Linked DNA regions of Alligator mississippiensis. The protein of the gene in region 1 interacts with the protein of each later gene in a pairwise test. Links are inferred from orthologs where the notes say so. Each region holds a gene or a part of one and is shown in the gene's direction. Other genes may lie near its edges. The genes, in order: WDR4 and RABGGTB.

Region 1 (10,088 bases):
GCAGTAAGTGCCCCACATGCAAAGTGCTTCCCACACGGTAACAAATTGTGTCTCCAGTTATAAAATGAGCCAACCAGCTCTAAAGTTAGTGCTCGGAAATGTGTAACAATTCCTAATCTGGTTTCTGCCCAGCTCTCTTTGAATGTGGAGCAGGGCCCCAAGAGATCCTTGCCTCTGGCATAACTGAAAAGCAGTTGGGTTAAAAAAGGGCTGGGAGGGATCAGTTTGTAGGCAGAAACATGAAGAATGGTCCCCCAGGGCTTCCTGAAGCCTAGTAGAACAGCAACACCCACAGAACTATATTTTCACAGCACAGTTGAAACCAATGAGTCATGGCAGTGCAGGATGAGCAAATAAAACCCATTAGCCCACAGGTTGCAAATGGGAAAATTGCACTACTGAGGCCTTACAAGACCTTAATTAGTTTCTCAAAGCACTCAACACTAGCAGACCCCTGATCTTGAAGACTGGAATTGCTGCCTAAATAGGTTATCCCAGGACATATAAACAATGTCTTTCTGAGCTAGGAGTAGTTCTCAGGATTCCTGACTTCGCATCCTGCCTTCATACCACTAGCCCCACTTTTTAATTTATCCATAAAGAGTTAAGTAGGCTGCTTGTTGCAGTGACTTTCTAAATATACTTTAAAAATTTATGTCACAGAAGCCTAGGAATCGGAGCATAGTAAATTCAGCTCGAAGACCTTCGAATTATAGTATATTTCATAATCAGAAAAATAGGGTGAGACGGGACTTCAGGCCACATCTAACCCAACCCCCTGATCATGGCAGGTTCATCCTTGTCTAACTCATCCCAGGCAAGTTTTTAACTAGCCAGCTCTTAAACACTTTTACTGATAGAACACATAACTGTCAAATTCATTGTGCACTTTAAAATAAAATACCTTTAATAAAGCTTTGCCCTGTGAACATTATTATGCAACCCCATACTAGAATAGACTTGAAAAAATATGGTTCTCAAGCCCTGATTCGACAAACACCTGTACATGTGACCAACTCTGTACACATATGTAGTACCATTAACTTCAATCAAATTACTTATCTGCATGAAACTAAAGTGCTTGGAAGACTTGATTGACCTTTAAAGGAACTGGCAATTTGAATATTTGATTAATTTTAAGAAGTGCAATGTTTATATATGTAGGAGATAGGAAAGCATGGCATCTTAGACTCTAACTGATTCAGAAAGTAACAGTCTATTAAAAATACATAATCCAATCTTTATAAAATAAATTATAGAGAGTTGATTACTCCTTTTTCATGCTTATTAGAAGGATAATTTGGGTGGGCCTAAGAGCTATAATACTAGATGTCCTCTAGTCCCATTATTCTAACCGTTGCCTCTTCTCTTGGTGCAAAGACACTGTACGTTTTGGGTATCCTGAGAGGGGTACTGGGAAGGGCATATCATTAACAAAACAGTGAAAGTGAGTATACATCATATCTTATCAAATATACAACATGAAAGTTCTGTTATCCTCCCTCTAAACTTTAATTTACAGTCATTTTAAGATTTACGTTTAATAGAGAGTAAACATTTTAATGGATTATGTTCTTAAAATTAGCACTGCTCCTTTATCTTTTATCTATTATAGCAATTACACTCATACATCATTTTGCAATATATTTCAAATTACTCCACAGTCTCCTCAAATTTTGAGAACAGAATGTTCAAAATGTAATGCTGGAACACAATAAAACTGTCATACTAAGCATAGGGTGTAACTTAGTTAAAACTAAAGAACAGGATCAGCTGCTCTGGCTGCTAGCCAAAAATGATAATGATATAAAAAATAATATAGCTATGTGAGCTGCTAGTATTAAACTGGTTATGTCCAAAAAGAACATCACACAACATTTTAAAATGTGTGTCCACATCCTTTTCATGTTGCCATAAAGATGTCAAAATTATATTCAGTTTTTGCAGGTGGAAATCTTTTTCTTTTCAGAGCTCTGCAGAAAAAAAAACTTTCAGTGAAAAAGCTGCTTAAAAAATTAATTCCAGGCTTCTGATCTCCTCTCCCTAATAAAAATGACCAACTTTTTACCAGGGACTGCAAAAAGGGGTAACCCCAGTTTTCAGTTTTTATTGTCATGTTTATGCATATAATAAATACACTTTAGCGCTCAAGAGAGAGAATTCAAATGAATGACAATTTACAAAAAAATGACTTTAAGGACTTTGACCTTACCCAAGAAATATGTAAGTTACCGAGGAAATATGTAGGAAATATCTATCAGGAAATAGATAGGTGAATTTACTGTTTAGCAACATAGTACGCTATTCTGCTTTGCCACTTTCTCTCTTTTTTGTGCAACATTCTCATTGGATACAAAACCGTTCTTTTGTAAGCTTGATGCCTTTTAATGACTTATCAGACAACAAAGAAACATAGGGAGGAAGCTTCAGTCAAGGGCTTTACATTTTTTAAATTAAAGAATGGCATACTACTTCTAGTAGGATTGGAGTGTAGGGTTGGATGGCCCAGGAACTATGTGAGAAACGAAGGGGTTCTGTGGTGCAATTTATCAGACCAACTGTATAATTGGAAGAGATGTTGGACAAACTTTTAGGAACAAACTGCCATTCTTCAGTTCCAGTAAAAGATATCACAAAAAACTCCTGGCTCATACATTTCCTGGACCATCATGGCTACAACAATTCAACTCTACTACAAGATGAAGGATACTGAAATCTGCTGCTGACAAAGGAAAATCCACAGTCTAAAACTAAGGAAAGGCTCTTGGTTCCTAAAAAATATGTCCAACATCTCTCCCAACTACAGTTAGTACAATAAAAGAGATCACAAAAAACACTTACTTCGCATATTGTTTCTTGGCAACAGTGACAGGAACTTAATTTGTTTTATATGTCTTTGGGCCAATTTTAATCAGAGCAAACTCTCAAAAAGTCAGTAAACTGTAAAAAAATCATTGCACTCATGGATGGTTTTGTACATTTTTTCAGACCTTAAATGAAAGAGATCTCACTAAATGGCAACTGAATTCTAATATTGTACCATAGACTGAAAAAAGGAAGATGTGTCACAAGCTATGGGCACAAGCTGCAGGTTTCTGCAGGCACTTGGCCTTCTTGGTTTATTGTTCTTTAAACCAGAGGTCAGCAACAATTAACCATAGCTGTCCCTTGTTTATGACTGAGCTACTGCTGCAGCCCTAGTTGCTCTGTGCTGAGGGCTGCTCTTTCTTCTGCTTACTCTAGCCACTTAGTGTCATATTTCTTTGGCAGAGGTGATAGGTAAATTTGGTGGCACCGGTAAGCACAGACTGTAGTAACAGGATGACAGAGCAAAGAGGGCTGGGGTGGCCATCTGCTGGATGCTGTAGAAAGAACTAGTGGCACCTAACAGCTAAACGTATGACACAGCATGGAGAAAGTATCCTTGCTACTGCTGTTCTCCTCCCCGTCCACCATGTGAAGGATTCAATCTGTGGGCCAGATATGGGCCCTTGTGGGCTATAGGTTGCCAACCCCTCCTTTAAACCTTGCATAATAGATTATCAATCATGGATTCAGTTAAACAGAACGCAGTCATACATGTTCCGAGTCCGGATTTTTATTTTTTTTTTTGCCTTGGGATTTGAACCTTGCTCTTGCTTGACCTTCCCCTTGTCACTAGGTGAGGGTGGGGACAGGTGGGGAACACCTTCCCATGAATTCCTGCCCTGTCCACTCTGTTAAAATTTCATCCAGGAAGAGTTTTCTTCCTTGACTATACCTTTTCATAGTTTCATAGTTGGTAGGGTCAGAAGGGCCCTAAGCAGATCATCTAGTCTGACCCCCTGCCATAGGCAGAAAAGAATGCTGGGGTCAAATGACCCCAGCTAGGTGGCTGTCTAGCCTCCTTTTGAAGACCCCCAGGGTAGGGGCAAGCACCACTTCCCTTGGAAGTTGGTTCCAGCTCCTAGCCGACCTAACAGTGAAGTGGTGCCTCCTGATATCTAGCCTGAATCTAATCTCAGTCAATTATCAATTGCCATATATCATTTCAGCATCTGTGCTATATTTATTGTCCAATATAACCAAATATAACCAAAGATTTCCTGTTTAAAACTATAGTTTCAATAGACATTTATAAAACTTTAAATTTATATTTTTTCCAAGCTGTTTTGCACACTACTCCGGATAACTGTTTAAAACAGATTTATATAATAATTATGATTTATTATTTTTCCCCCTACAAACCTGATTTAGAATAAAATTGTATCATTTGAAGAATTTTACAAACAAGTGAAGGAAGAATCAGATCTTTAAAGCATTGAGTAATACAGAGCGAGTAAAAATGACTGTTTAATATTATGGGGTTACAATTATGACCATCCGTCATATGCAATATCTACAAATTAAGGTTTACTGTTCCCAGCATCAGTGCTGCAACTAAACATATGAGACAGTAAGTGTGTATTGAGTTGGAAAAGAAAGAAGAGATTTAATTATTTTGAAGTGTTCACCCTTTGTAACTGTATACCAGCTAGTCTCAACTTCTCTAGATTTGAGGCACGGAAAGTGACAGCTCTTACTTTTCCCTTCTTTTTTGACTACAGAAAAATACTAGAGCAATTCTTCTCAGAAAGACCCCAACAGGGCCAAATGGTTTTAACGCTCTGGATTCCTATTTTAAAACTCTTGCGTTTATCTTGCAAATCATGTTTGCAGAGCTAACATGGTGCTAACATGGTGTGGCAACCCAAGCACCCACCAAGGGTGGAGATTGCACAACCTTTCTGGGTAGCCTGTTCCAGTATTTTACTACCTTCTTTGTTAGACAGTTTTTCCTAATATCTAACTTAAACCTCCCTTGCTGCAACTTGAGACCATTGCTCCTTGTCCTGTGATCTGCCACCACTGAGAACAGTTTAGCGCCATCCTCTTTTAAACCCCACTTCAGGTAGATGAAGGCTATTAAATCCCCCCTCAGTCCTCTCTTCTGCAGACTAAATAAGCCCAGTTCCCTCAGCCTCTCTTCAGAAGTCATGTGCCCAGTCCGCTCACCATTTTCCTTGCCCTCCACTAGACTCTCCCCAATACATAAACTTTACCAAGATGCAATTCAGCATCACCAGCGGCTGCAAAAAGACATGTACTCTGGCATAATATCACCAGGCACCCTGGTTTTCTCTGGTAAAAAGAAAAATCCCCAATTTTCAGATTTAAAAAAAAATCCAAGTTTTTCCATGATTAAAATGAAACACCACTATATATATATATATATAGTACATTTTTCCGTGGTTAAAACAAAACACTACTATATAAGTGGAGTTGCATTTTAATCACATAAAAATGTGAATGTGGATTTTGGGTTACTTTTTTAAATCTGAAAATTGGAATTTTTTTAATCACAGAAAACTAGGATCCCTGGCTATCAAACACCGGGGAAGTGATTTTAACATAGCAGCCAGGGTTTGGACAAAGGAGCCAGAGAAGGGGAATGAGGAACTAGGACAAAGCAGTGAGAACAAGGGCCCAACTCCAGCCCCACGCCGAACTACGGCTAACCGAACCTCCTGAGCGCAACTCAGAAGCCCCGACCCCCTCGCTTCGCCGCTCTCTAGTTACGTCACATTCGAGCGTCAGCGCCCATGGTGATGTCTAAATCCCGCGACGCTGGGGGAGCCTCCAGCTGCTTCCCGGGCGCACGTGGGTGGGCGTCCGCATGGAGGAAGCGGCGGCAGCAGCGGCGATGGTGGGGGGCCCTGGCCCGGGAATGGGGCTGCGCGGGGGCCTGATGGCTGTCAGTGGAGGGAGCAAGGTGCTGGCCGCCCGGTACCAGGAGCTCAGGGCCAGGTCAGCAGTGGGGGGATGCAGCCGCAAGGCTTCTTGTGCGGGGGAGCTGTGGGAGTAGCGGAGGGAGGCTAGCGGGAGCTCTTGCCGCTGCGGCACAGGCGGGTCCTGGCATTGGGTGCAAGGCTGGCCCCTCCCTTCCTCTCTCCCCCTACGCGAACTGTGGGGCATCAGCTGCTGCTCTCCCCACACCTGGTTCCAGAACCCCCGCCCTCGGTTCTAGAACCTTCCCCCGCCCTTGGTTCTGGAACCCCCTCCCCCTGCCCTTAGTTCCACAACCTATTTCGTTCCCTCTGTGCACAGTCGTTCAGGGCCCAGCTCCTGCCCTACTGGGAGAGGAAGGTGGTGGTGCTGAAGGCATGGCACCCCTGTTCCCCTTCCTTTTAAGTGTGTGGCTGAAGAGGGTGCTAGAGCCAGGGCTGAGCATGAAATGGGGCACTGCGTGTAGCCTGCAGCCTGGACCCACTCCCAGTGCTGTGCACAGGAATTGTGGTGACACATGTGGCTCATGCATGAGTCTGGCTGCATGTGCTGCATGCAGCATGTGGGGTCAGTGTGAGACCCATTGGCCAGATCATAGGGCTCCACAGGCTGGATCTAGCCTCCAGGCTGCATGTTGGACACTCCTGACTTAAAACAAGTAATTTCATATGAAGTAGGAGCCCCGGATTTGGTGCTGATGTTTGTAAATTTACAGCATGTGAGAACTTAAAATGTTTCCAATGAGAGATCGTCCTGTAACAGACTAACTGTCTACATAAAGGCTGGCCAACCTGTGGTACCGGTGACACAAGTGGCACAGGCAGCCTTGATGTGGTGTGCGGTAGATCAGAGAGGGGACAGGCTGTGCAGCAGAAAGCAAAGCAGCAAATCAGGCAGGATGTGCAGGGCTGGGAGCAGAAAGCAGAGCGGCAGATTGAGCAGGGAAAGGGGATGGCACTGAGGGAAAATCCAGGGCTAATTTGTGGCATGCCTTCCAAAAATGGCTGGTTTCCCCGCTGATTCATATCACCTTGTGCACTCTGGGATCTACTAGTGTACAGGTCAGTCGCATCTTACACGGGGGTTAGGTGCTGAAGTCAGCGCATAAAGCGAAAATCGGTGACTACGTGGGGTGGGAGAAGGGCGGGGCTTGAGCGTGCAAGAGGCGCCATGCTTAGTGCTGTGCGGCTGGCGGCAGCGGCGCAGTGCGGGGTGGTGGTGGGGATGGCTGCATGCTGCCCGGCCACTACCGTGTTGCTGCCGCCGCCTGGCAACTGGCCACACAGCTCTGGGCATGGCTCCGTGGCGACAGCAGGAGGTTTTGGAGGCAGTGGCCATCACTGCCATAACGGGCCTCCAGGTAAGCGACAGTGCCGTGTGCAAGCTCAAGCCCCACCCCCCTCCCACCCCGCATATAGTTGAATTTGCCCAAGTTAAATGCGTGTATGATGCGACTGACCTGTATGTCCTTTCCTAAGTTTGCGCATATAGTTTTGCTGATTTCATTGACTTAAATAGGGCTACTCAGGATGATGTAATTGATCATAGATTCTTTCCCAGGAGTAGGGGCTAAAACTGGGAGGAAAAAATCTCTAATGTTTCAATTAATTAGTGTAATAGGGGAAATTTTGGTTAATATCTCCCTTTCCCCTAAAGTGGATGGTGTTCCTTTCAAGAAGCCCAAAACTAGTATGGTTACTTTGGGAAATTAGCTTTACTTGTTAGTTTACCCAGCAATGAAAAAGCCATCATGTAATTACTTATGTACATCTCACCCCATCCTTCAATAGAAAGGTTTTCCAAGGGTTACACAGATAGTGTGACATAATTAAGGAAATGGCGACTGAAACAGGGCTGTGATTTTGTCATTTGTTCATTTTGTCTATGTCACAACCCAAGGGTGTGATTTTTGTTTGTGTGTGCTTTGGCACCGCTGAATTATTTTCCCGCTGTTTGAAGCTTTCTTTGCAGTGTGCATTTCTTCTTTGCAGCATAGAAATGCACGTTGCACGGAGTTCCCGCCATTTGTATTTAAATTCGACCCCCCACTATTGGTTGTTTCTAAATTATTCCTACGTGGCGGCTAGCGAGCTTGCTAGCCGTATAAGAGGCTTGAGTGGTTTCCGCCCAAGTTGGAGGACTCCACGAACATCAGGAGGAGGAGACTTCACGTCTTGTGAAGATCTCTTAGCGCTGCGGAGCCTATTGGACCCAGCGTGAATATCAAGAAGGCAACGGGGGTCTGATCAGCCTCTAGCCTCTCCCCGTCGCTGAGCGCAATCCTCAACGTATCCCTCTTCCCTGCACGCAAAAAGTTCCACAGAGCCTTGACAACTTCGTGTGAGTCAGAGTTTTGTCCAAGTCCTTAACGTAGGGATTTAAGTGGAGTTTTACCTGGGAAACTGTCCAGCCTACACCGTGACCATCTACGGTGTAAGTAAACAATCTTGAATCAACCACTAAGCGTCCGTGCCTAATTCTAGCGTGTCGCCTGCTTTCTCTGACCCAGCGTGTCCGGGCTGCTGGCCACAGCCCGCGGCCTGAAAAAAGGGCCCCAGATCGCTCCCGGCCTGCACAGTCTAGATTACCAAATTTGTACGTCATTAAATACTGGCACACAGCTTGTTTGTATACAGTAAATTCCACTTTAAGCTTACTAGTCTTGATGCCTGACAGCATTCATACACAGACAACCTGATCAATCAGTGACATACATAGCAGATGCCAAGATAAATTAACTGCAAATGACTGGTGCATTTGAGAGACCAGTAAAAATGAAAACAGCTGTTCACAGAATAAAAATCACATTGTTTTGCCATCAACTAATAACTTATGCTTGGTAAGTGATAACTTGTATTTGGTGTGTATATGGGATGGAAGATGCTAAATATCAATAACCTGAACAGTTTTGTTGGTGTTTGGAGGTGTGGTGGTGGTAGGGGAACATCGGAGCAGACTACAATTGGAACATAAAAGTATGTAAGAATGGTGCATTATGAATAAGGTATTCTGTGTGAGGGAATTCTGGTAGTATTTGGGTTTTTTATCCTTATTTTTCCAGTAATGATGGCGATCTCTTTGTGTATGACTGTGTCACTGCAAACAAGAGGACACAAGAAAAAGGGTGAGTGAATTCATTTAAACTTTTTGCTGCCTATCCAGAGGCTGTAACACTGCCCTCGTTGCAAAAAAAAAAAAAAAAAGCCAACAACCTGCTGGGTTGTATTAATAGAAATGTCTCTTGCAAATCAAGGGAAGCGATTCTTCTGCTCTATTCGGCATTGGTGAGGCCTCACCTAGAGTATTGTGTTCAGTTTTGGGCCCCACGCTTCAAGAAAGATGTGGACAGATGTGTAAAGCAGAGAGCAACATAAATGATTAGAGGCCTGGGAAATATGATTTATGAAGAAAGGGTGAGAGAACTAGGATTATTGTCTGGAGAAGAGAAGGCTGAAAGGGGATTTGATAACAGTCTCTGAATACCTTTACGGGAGATAGTCTTGTGCCCTGCAGCCACAGAGAAAAGGCTAGGAGTAATGGCATAAAACTGCAGCAAAGGAAATTTAGGTTGAGGGTTAGGAAGAACTTTTTAACTATGAGGGGAGTCAAGCATTGGAACAGGCTACGTAGAGAAGTTCTGGACTCTCTGTCTGGATATTTTTCAAGAGCAAGTTAAAGAGACACTTGGCTGGGATGTCTTAGTACAGGATTATCTAGCCTTGAGCAGAGGGATAACATGGTTAGATGACCTCATGAGGTCCCTTCCATCCTTACTTTCCTATGATCCTATGACCTTTTTCAATAATTGAGTGATAAACAAGACATAATTGGGAATGCTTGTAGGCAAGACATGATTTACTTAATTTCCAGACAGATCCTCTATTTTGTTATTTATTATGCATTTAAACTTTTTTTTTGTGGTAAATTGCCTGAAAAGAATGCAGCCACAACAATCAACACTACTGTGTTGTGTGGGTATTTTTGTTTTAACTTGTATAATTATTAGAATGGAAAAATACTTTAGTCATGTTTTACTTTGAGCATGGGTAACTGCTTTACCTCTTGTCAGTTCTGCTGTTTATAGATCACAATCAGCTAACGTGGCCACCAACACCATGTTGGAATGGGCCCCTGTCAATTTTGTTTCTTTTTGGTTTTGGTCTTGGCCACAATAACTAGAGAAAAACTTTACTAAAATGAAAATATGACCAAGACTGTAGCCATGGAAGTGGATTGAGCATGTTTACTTAAACCATCAAAGTTGTCAGCTTGGGAACAAACTT
Region 2 (9,584 bases), on another chromosome or scaffold:
ATTTCACTTTTTACCTTGTACAATTGAGTCTTAGTTGTTTGGGCCACACTTAAGCAAAACTCTGACATATCTTATACATATCTCTTACTCCTGTTGATCCAAAATGAAGTGAAACATTTTACTTGGCTACCTAAAAAGAATAAGGGTTATTGCTTTCCTCTCTAAAGGAAAAAAAAAATCTCTGCTTTTGGAGTTTAGTGTATATGGCTTCAGCTTTTTGCCAGCAGTCATGTATCTAATTTGCAATATAATTCAAGATAATAAGAGTACTGGAAAGCCCCAAAATATTCTACAAAGTGAAGGTCACTTATCTATTTTGAACTCTCACTTTTTGCAGTTATATTGTAAAAAGATGTGCTACGCTGCCAATATACCACCTTGGCAAGGGGCTAGGAATGAGCCTTTTGTTAGCTCCGTAGTAGCTAGGGAGGAGGATATTCTCAGGGGACTATTCCTGCCAATTTGTAGGCTAGATTATACTAATGGCATACATCTCTACATTGTGGTGGTCAAGCTATTCCAAAACATTTTTTTCTGCTTTTCTATGCACTTGGCACCGATTCAAAGTGTTCTTAAGTTGTCACAGCTACAAAAATCAAAATTATCCAAAGGAAGAAACAGAATAAGGAAAAACACAGAGAACTACTACTATATTATTGCCAGTACCCCTATGTATGGTTTTATTAAAGAGAAGCTGGACAAGTTGCAAATTACCTACACAGATTGTGGAACACCCTCCTTGGGTGTTTTTAAGAGCAGTTTAGACTGGGCATGACAAACTCATCTGTACCCTCCCCCCAACCAGCCTTAACAGAAGCACTGTGTTCAGTTTTGAGCACCCCAGAGCTGAACTACATGGAGAATCCAGAAGAGAGCAAATAAAAATTACAGTAAAATCTTTGTTATCTGGCATTTAAGTAACCGGGAATTCTATTAACTGGAATTACTGGCCGGACATGAGTGGGCACAGGGGAAAGCTTGCACCTAGCAGTGCCTCTTGGGTCTGGGGGGGCACCCAGGGTCCCCCCACGGCTGATTGCTGAGCCGGGGGGGGACCTGGCAGACCTGGAAGTGGACTGGCAAGTACTTCTGGTCCACTTCCGGGTCTGCCGCTGAGCACACAGGGCCCCCTGCTGTGCTCCTGTGGGACACTCCATCCACCCCACCATCTTAGCTTTCGTGAGCCGTGCCTGGTACCTCAAACTATGTAGAAAAAACATTTAAAGCTGTGTCTATGGCCAAATTGCTGATTCTCCGAATTGGCATTGAATCTTCAGATTCAGATTCGACTGAATTAAATCGGGACAATGATCCAAATCAACAGATCGAATCACTGTCCCCCAATTTTCTTTCCTACCCTAAAGCAGGAGGCACCTGGAGCTGACATTTCTTTACTGTTGCTGCCAGGTCCAGTAAGGGAGTTGAAGCTGACTGGGTAGGAAGCTATCTCAGAGTAACCTTGCTCTGTTCCTTGGGGCAAGTGGCAGCACTGGAGACAAACTCGGGGCTCTCCTGATGAAGAATACTTGGATTTGAAAGCTTGTCTAACTATTCCAACCATGCAGATGGTCCAGTAAAAGATACCCCCAAAAATCTTTGCCTCTCACATAATTCCTGGACCACGGGCAAATCGTGCTGCCTTAGTCAGGGGTGAAGGGACCCGTGGGGGGAGGGGTTCCCCTGTGGCAGATCTCACTGCCCAGGGGGAGTTTCCCCATTGCAGCTCTCAGAAGCCACATCAGTTCTACGTACTCCCTATAACTCTTTTAAGTACCCCTAGGGGTATGTGTACCCTCGGTTGACAACCACTGCTTTAGAAGATTCATCAATCCAATTCACTTGGTTAACCATAACATGCCTGAAATTCAGTTAAACTTTTAACTTGTTGAGTCACACAGGCAATGGAAAAGGAAACAGAATGATTTCCACCAAAATGCTTTGAGATTGCTTCTTCTTCCCACTTCACAAAGCTGTGCATTCTTTTAGAGCTTGCTCTGTTGGGAAATCTGTGAGATTATTTAGTGCTTACTTGCCTTACAGTGACTTACATAATCTTGTTTCTTGTACATTCAGCATTTGCAGTCTGTCATTTCTTCCATCAGTCCAAACATAGAAATAGGTGTGGCAGAAACTGCTGAACGGGGCAATTTCCTTTGAGATGTTTAGTTCAGTGACAGATGTTTCTTGATCACATTCTCAGATGCCTATTTACTTAATTTCTTGGACAGATTCTTTTGAGGGTGATTCATTATTATGGCAAATCACCAACTGAAATGTAATATCCAAAGTCAAAAGTACTGATGGGTCTGTTTAATTTTTTTTGCCTTTTGTGCTTGATGTAATTCAAAGAGGAGAATCTATTCAATCTATAGTGCAGGTAACTGACTTCCTTGTGTGTTTTAATCTTGTTATTACAAATGATCTAGCTGGAGAAAGTCCATCATGCAAAGTTATTGAAGTGATGCAGATAGGGAAACACAACATTCATAATTCACATTTAGCAGACTTTCCTTTCTTGGCACAGCTCTACATGCTACTTTACATTTTATATAAAATTTTTCATCCTGACTGGTCCCTGAGTACTTTGCAAACTTATAATCACATATCTTTTTATCCTGTTTTGAGAGTGTGCCCACTTTTGGTGTATAACACACAGACAGCTTAATAGTACAGTTGCAATAATCAGCATTTTATTCTAGCAAAGGAAGAATGCCATTTCCTTCTGAGACTTCAAGAAAAATATTGCAAAAAAATATTGAAAAATCTTCTTTGCATCTTTTCTGGTCTAGAGTTCTGTGTTCTAATACAGACTTGCCAAACTGTGTACAGGCAGTCCTCGACTTAGAACTTTTCGAGTTACGTTTCGCACTTACAACATTTATAACTTGACACCCTGTTTCAACTTTATGATGTCAGTTTTGACTTTATAATGCTTGATCCGATGCGACACTACGCCAGCGAACAAGTTTGCTGCGTTGCTCATCTCCCTGGAAAACATCTGTCCAAACTTCCTTGGACACTTTAAGAAAACAGACAAGACTCCAAAAAAACCTGCAGCCAAGACTTCTGAGAAGACTTCAGCCAAGAACCCTTCAAAAAGTCCAACCAAGAGCCCTTCAAAAAGTCCAGCAAAGTCGCTTCAAAGAAGTCCTTGCAAATCAATGATTGCTATTTACAGTATAAATACATTAATGTAGCTATATTACTCATATAATTGATCGAGTACAAGATTCTGGGGTATTTTTGGTGAAAATAGGGTATCGGGCCTTGGTTCAGGAACCAATCCCACATTTATAACATTGTTTCTTATGAGAAAATTGGTTCTGAGTTGCAATGTTTTGACTTAAGACGTGGTTTTCAGGAACCAACTGCGTCCTAAGTCCAAGGACTGCGTTTTGACTTAGGACACAATTGGTTCCTGAAAACCGCATCTTAAGTCCAAGGACTGCCTGTAGTTTACTGTGTTGAGAGATTGCCCAACAGAGTGCACCAACACTGAGAAAACTAGAGCAGCAAATCTGCAGATTCTCATTTCTTTGCACATAACTGTTCAGCTCTTATTTGATTCACTTCCTCAGCTAGAAATTCTATAGAGCAGGGGTTGGCAATGTTTTTGGCCAGCGTCAAAAATTCCCCAACTTTTACCCATGCCTCAATTTGGTGTGCTGGAGGCAGACAGCAGGGGAGCTGCAAGGGGCTTTCTTTGCCATTTCTTTGCAAGCTTTCGGATACCTGCGCCCTTCTTCAGGCTGAGGAGAATTCAAAGATTGTAAAAGTTTTAGGTAGAAAAGAAATGTCATGTCTCCATGGTGCAGGGGTTTAGGTTGTAGCCGTGTTGGTCTAAGGATATAGGCAGAGGAACCCAAGGAACCTTGTCTGCCCATGTCTCCATGGTGGAATAGAAGCCAATATGGAAAATGTAGGTCTGTGGAAATGCAAATACATGACAGTGAGGATCTGAGGGAATGGGAGACAATAAATAGGTGGGGGGAAAGGAGGGGAATATTGTTGGTAAAATGTCGTAGAGGTTACCTAGGGTTATCGGACGGCAGGCGGATTATAATGCACCATAAGTCCAATGTCTATACTTGGTTCATAATTTTTTGTATCCGGTAGATTGAAGTGAAGTTTCTAGGCTCATGTGCAAAAAGTGTTTTGTAAATTCTGGAGTACTTTTAAAGTGAATTAAAGCACGCTAAACTCAGGTGGGATTATGACATATCATCAGGGTGATAGCAGCAGCCTGAACAGATGACAAGAGATGCCAAGGAAATACCAGCCTTTAAAAGAGCAAAGGCCCCGAGAGCACGGCCCCAGTGGGGCGGCAGCACAGGACCCTGAGCCATTCCTACAGCTGAGGAGGCAGGGTGTTGCCTGCGGGTCCCCTTGGCAGTTAGCCCCGGAGGGCCCTGCCACAGGTTCAAATGGAAGCAGGAAACCAGCCATAAGGCTGCACTTTTTTAAGCACTAACTTTGTCGCCGGTTTTCTTTTTTTATAACTGGACGGCCGTGTTGATCCCGCGACAATACCTCGCACTGTGCGGCCCGTCCAAACGTATTGCCTGATTAACCAAGTCATCGTATAACGGCTGTAACCGGGACTGAAGGGCCCGCTGCTCTCCCGGCTGCAGAACTGGCGCATCACGGCTGTGACGCGGCGCGGGCGGCCTCCTCCCACCGCGCAGGCGCAAAACAATAGGGCGCGAGCGCCCATGGGGCGGGGGGCAGAGTCATCTGGGCGCTGCTGTTTTGCGCAAGGCAGCTGGGGTCCTCGTGCGGCGCTCGGGGCAGGCAGCGCGCCAGCCACCTCTGCTCAGCAGCCGGACTCCGCCCCACCCGGCAGAACCCTGGCGCTGGTGCCGCTGTGCAGGCAGCGCCGCAGACACCTCTGGCGGGTCCTGCGCGGGGGCGGGCGGGGGCGCCGCCTCCTCCCCTGGGCCCACGGGCGCCGCCGACATGGTGGGTTGCTCTCGCCGCCCGCAGCGGGCGCGGCCTCGTCCCCTGGGCCGGGCTTGGCTCGCCGGGGCCGGGGCCTCCGCTTCCCGGGGCGAGGGGGCGCTTCCACGAGGGATCTGCCCCGGTGGCGGCGGGGAGCAGTAGTGCGGGCAGGCGTGGGGGGCGCGGTGGCCCTCGGGGAGCGCCTGGGGATTCATTTATGGCACGTCTGCCGGAGGGGTTCCCCCTCCCGCCTTGGGCCGAGTCCTTGTTCCTGTAACTGGAAGAGGCGGTGACGGGAGACGTGACCGCTTGGGCGGGGGAGGGGGGGTGTCTGGGGAGGGGGGCGGGGGAAGGAAGGGGACAAAACGAGAGGAGGTGCGGCCGTTGTGGCTGCTTCTGTTCTGTCTTGTTGAAAGCCACTATCAAAAACGTTAGGGCGGGGGTCAGCTACCCCCACCACGTGCCAGAGCAGGGGACGGAGGCCATTTTGGTCCGCACATCACAGCCACCTGGCGCTGGGCGGTGGCTGCCGGCCGCAGAGCAGAGCAGGGGCTGCTTGCAGCAGGTGGTTGGGAGGCTGCAAGGGTGGCTGGCAGCAGGTGCAGCTCTGGGTGGGTGGCAGGGGAGAGGCCAGGCTTGCATTGCTGCAGCCCCTTCTCCATCTTGTGCCCAGAGGCCCACATGCAGCCAGTGCTCCAGAGCCCAGGGCAGATGTTTGCAGTCTGCCACAACTGCCTAGAGCCCAGGCCGGCTGGGGCAGGCAGCCAGCCGTTCGCAGCGGGATCCAGGGGTCCAGCACCAGCTCCCTGCCAGGCGGTGGCTACACGTGCATCTCGTGCGCAGGGCAGGGCAGGGCAGTGCAACCCTGCCCTTCCCACACAGTCTACCCAAAGGCATGTGCAGCCACCGCCAGCAACAAGGATTGGGCCCTTCATGGCTCCCCTGTGATCTGCCCCTGGCATCCCAACCCTGGCCTATGCCTTGACTTGGTGTATTTTTAGCACTCTGGTCAAAAACATTGCTAACCCTTGTGTTAGATGGTAAAGACCTTACCCGCTTACCCGGTAACAATTCAGAATTTGATTTTTATTTTGCTTTTTTGTTTTTTAGGGGACACCACAAAAAGATGTTATAATAAAACCTGATGCCCTAAGCACACTGCTTCTGGAGAAACATGCAGACTATATAGCTTCCTATGGAACAAAAAAAGATGACTATGTATGTAGCAACTGTTATTTTTCCCATTCTCTTAGAAATGCTGCATGTTGCCCTTTCTTGAACGGACAGGGTGGGAGGCTTCTTGTGTTATGGTGCAAAAGAGAGAAGGATTTAGTTTTGCATAGTGGTAATGGTAGTTTTCCTAGGTCAGTGATGAGCCTTGGCATGTATTATCTGACTAAAGTTGAAGATTACTGCTTTAGCTCTAGAATTACTCTGAGACCTGGGAAATGTACTAATTTGCTTACTAGGCTAAATAGGTGAGTGGTGAAAAAAAACTTGATCTTAAATGTGTTTTATTCTATCTACTGTAGCAAATCTCTGTCCAAAACTTGCTGGCTTGCTAGATTTAATCTGAATTCGCTAGAAGATTTCAGTTCTAGTTTAAAATTGGTATTTCTGATCATAGCTGAAATTTATCTTATGCCAGATGCATACAGCAAAATAAGTAATATATAAACAACTATAAAACAAATGCCATATGAAAATCATGGGTACAGGTGACTTGAGAAGGATTATAATAATGGCTTCAGATAAATGCAAGATTTTTCTTTTACTGTTCCTACTTTGTGTTTCTTTAGTTTTGGCAGTTAGCAGCAATATCATTCATTGACTGCTGAGGGAGCATTTGTGGAGGTAATGTAAGCAAAGGACCTTTAGCCAAGAAAATTTTAGCTAGTGGTCTGGGCCAAGCTTGTTGCATAAGGATGGGTAGGTAACTTAACCTTGTGCCTTAGCCATTTGAGATGGAAAGTTTAGGGAAAGTTAGCTGTTGAATTCATGGCTATATTTAGTAGGAGTGTACCAATAGAGATTTTGGGGGCCAATACCAATAACCAATATTTATGAAGGTGTATTGGCTGATTCCAATCAGATTTCCAATACAGATGCCTCCAGCTGGTAAGCCTGGTGTGATGGAAGGGATATGGGGCAGGGAGCAGATCAATGCCCCTGGCTCTTGGGGGAAGGAGGGACGGCTCCCACCACTGCTTGCACCCTGGGAGGGCACAGGGACGTGTGCCCTGTAGATCTGTGTGGGGTGGGCTGCAGCCAGGGCTGTGCGGGGCTCTTCTCAGTGGGGGGCTGGGCTCAGAGTGAACGCTGGTGGCACTGGGAGGATGCTGCACGCACTCCATATTTCACTGCTGCTCTGTTCCCAGTGCTGCCAGCCACCCAGCACAGCCCTTGCTCAATGCCTTGCCTCCACCCACACGCCAGGAAGAGCTGAGGCAGTGCTGGGAGCGGAGCGTCAGCAGAATTTGAGGTGGATGCAGCATCCTCCCAGTGCTGCCAGCACCTCCTCCGAGCCCAGCCCCTGCCGAGAAGAGCTCCTCACAGCCCTGGCTGCAGCCTGCCCTGTGCAGATCCAGGGGTTCATGCCCCCCCACCCTGCCATCATGGCGTGCAAGCAGTGGTAGGAGCTGCCTTCTTCCCCCCCCATCAAGCTGCAGCCCTGGCTCATCTGGGCAGCACCTGCCCCTCCCTCACCACGGGGGGGGGGGGGGGGCGTGCCCACGCGCACGTGCGTGTCCAGCATCCCTTCCCTTCTCACCTTCCACTACACTGGACTTAACAGCTGGAGATAGCTCTCCACGTTACTAGCTTTGCTTCTTGCTTCCTGAGTGCTGTACTGTGGCTGTGTGCAGCACAGGCATTTATGGGGCCAATATCCATACAGCCATTTTTCTTTATATCAGTACCGATCCGATATCGGACCAATGTATTGGTGCACCTCTAATATTGAGTCAATCTTATGTATATAAGCTGTTTAGACTAAAAGGCAGTTTGCCTTGTTGATGGGATGGGGCATCTGCTTTTGTTAAGGTCTAGATATAGTGTTAGCTTGAACCTGCAGCCTCACAGAATTAAAGCATACTAAACACTTTATATTTGTAGCTGCAGTAACAAACATTACCTCAGTTTGTGGTTGTGTGTGTCTTTTGTCTATTTTAAGAACTAAAATGTTGTACTACTTAGGAGTACTGTATGTCGGAGTACTTGAGGATGAGTGGTGTCTACTGGGGACTGACAGTAATGGATCTCATGGGACACCTGCACCGAATGAGCAAAGAAGAAATTCTAGCTTTCATCAAATCATGCCAACATGAGTGTGGTGGAATAAGTGCCAGCATAGGTCATGATCCTCACCTTTTATATACCCTTAGTGCTGTCCAGGTAAATAAATATATAGAAATAAAAGCATTATTGGTGATAGTTAAATTAATCTGACTGTACAGGTACCAGCAAGGTGTATTATTTCTTTAGCACCTTGAAATGCTCTATTTCAGTACCTCTTGTTCACTAGAAAAAAAGTGTTTCTAATTTTTAATTATGGTAGTATTAGGGTGATACTGTGTCCTGATGAAGAATGCCTTGCTTTTCTTTGCGGGTTGGGGCCTCATGTGGTAATAATTTTTGTTCATATCATGCAGCAGTTTCAAGAAAATTTCAAATGACTGTCTGAATTGTCTGGATATCTTTTTGGGTGGGGAAATAAGCTGCTATTTATATAAGACAGAAATAGTTATAGTTTACGTCTTTTCCTTTATATGTCATGTCTGAATTGTAAGTTTTAATGAAAAGTTGCTATTTCAAAGTTTTAGTAGCCTAATAGGTACACATTTGAGGAGTAAAATAGTAATGTAATCTTTAAATTAACCTATTACAAATTTTTATCTTTTTGGTGTGAGGGCTCCACTCACAAAGGTTGACCAGGATGCATCTTGTCATTCTCAGCCAACATTTGCCTTAGTTTTTCCCCAGCCTGCCTTCCTACCCATAATCAGCTAACATCGCAGAGCCTTCTTTCAAGGTGAGGGTGAGGTCATGCCACAGCTGTAGCTGACAGGAAACGTTGAAAATGATACAGCAGAGATCCTCCCAGTTGCATTCACGGTCTCTCTTCCACAGATCAAAGTTTTTTACACCTGTACAGTCAGGCTGCATTTACATTGTGGTGAGAAATGCTACCCAAACCAGATTTCAACACCCATGGGGGTGGGGGGGAAAACGTTTAACTTCATGTAAATGTATTTCTATACAGAAATTAGAAACCCTATACAGAAATTAGAAATATTGCAGCTTAGATCTTCTATGGAAAATGAGCTGGGGGAGAGAGGAGGAAAGAGAGAGGTACATTTTGGATAAGGTGAAAGAGAAGATCTCTGGTTCTGAGAAGTGGCAACGTAGCCTTCTAGGTCAGTGATGAGTTGGCATATGTTATCTGATTCTAAAGTTGATGTTCATTGTCACTTTAGCTCTAGAATTACTCTGAGACCTAGGATATCATAACATTGGGTTCTGCAGTCTCTAGAATTTATGATAATCTACATTCATCATAAATGGGAAGATAAAAGCGGTTCTTAAAGTAAATTTGGGCTGCACGCATAAATGGGTTTGTCTGTTCTGGTTAGTCAAATCATATGTAC

The links.
Region 2: the proteins of WDR4 (region 1) and RABGGTB interact in binary tests that used the Homo sapiens proteins (3 or more experiments, as listed by UniProt). The two-hybrid records come from large-scale screens. The link is inferred for Alligator mississippiensis from reciprocal best matches to the Homo sapiens genes WDR4 and RABGGTB.

The regions. Positions count from the first base shown.
Region 1 is NC_081824.1:299,763,492-299,773,579, reverse strand, and holds the start of WDR4 (tRNA (guanine-N(7)-)-methyltransferase non-catalytic subunit WDR4), read left to right. Parts: upstream 1-5,695; coding exon 5,696-5,826; intron 5,827-8,866; coding exon 8,867-8,929; intron 8,930-10,088. UniProt on the Homo sapiens protein: Non-catalytic component of the METTL1-WDR4 methyltransferase complex required for the formation of N(7)-methylguanine in a subset of RNA species, such as tRNAs, mRNAs and microRNAs (miRNAs).
Region 2 is NC_081828.1:22,511,152-22,520,735, forward strand, and holds the start of RABGGTB (geranylgeranyl transferase type-2 subunit beta), read left to right. Parts: upstream 1-4,878; 5' UTR 4,879-4,956; coding exon 4,957-4,959; intron 4,960-6,048; coding exon 6,049-6,156; intron 6,157-6,172; exon of another isoform or gene 6,173-6,416; intron 6,417-8,133; coding exon 8,134-8,331; intron 8,332-9,352; exon of another isoform or gene 9,353-9,436; intron 9,437-9,584. UniProt on the Homo sapiens protein: Catalyzes the transfer of a geranylgeranyl moiety from geranylgeranyl diphosphate to both cysteines of Rab proteins with the C-terminal sequence -XXCC, -XCXC and -CCXX, such as RAB1A, RAB3A, RAB5A and RAB7A.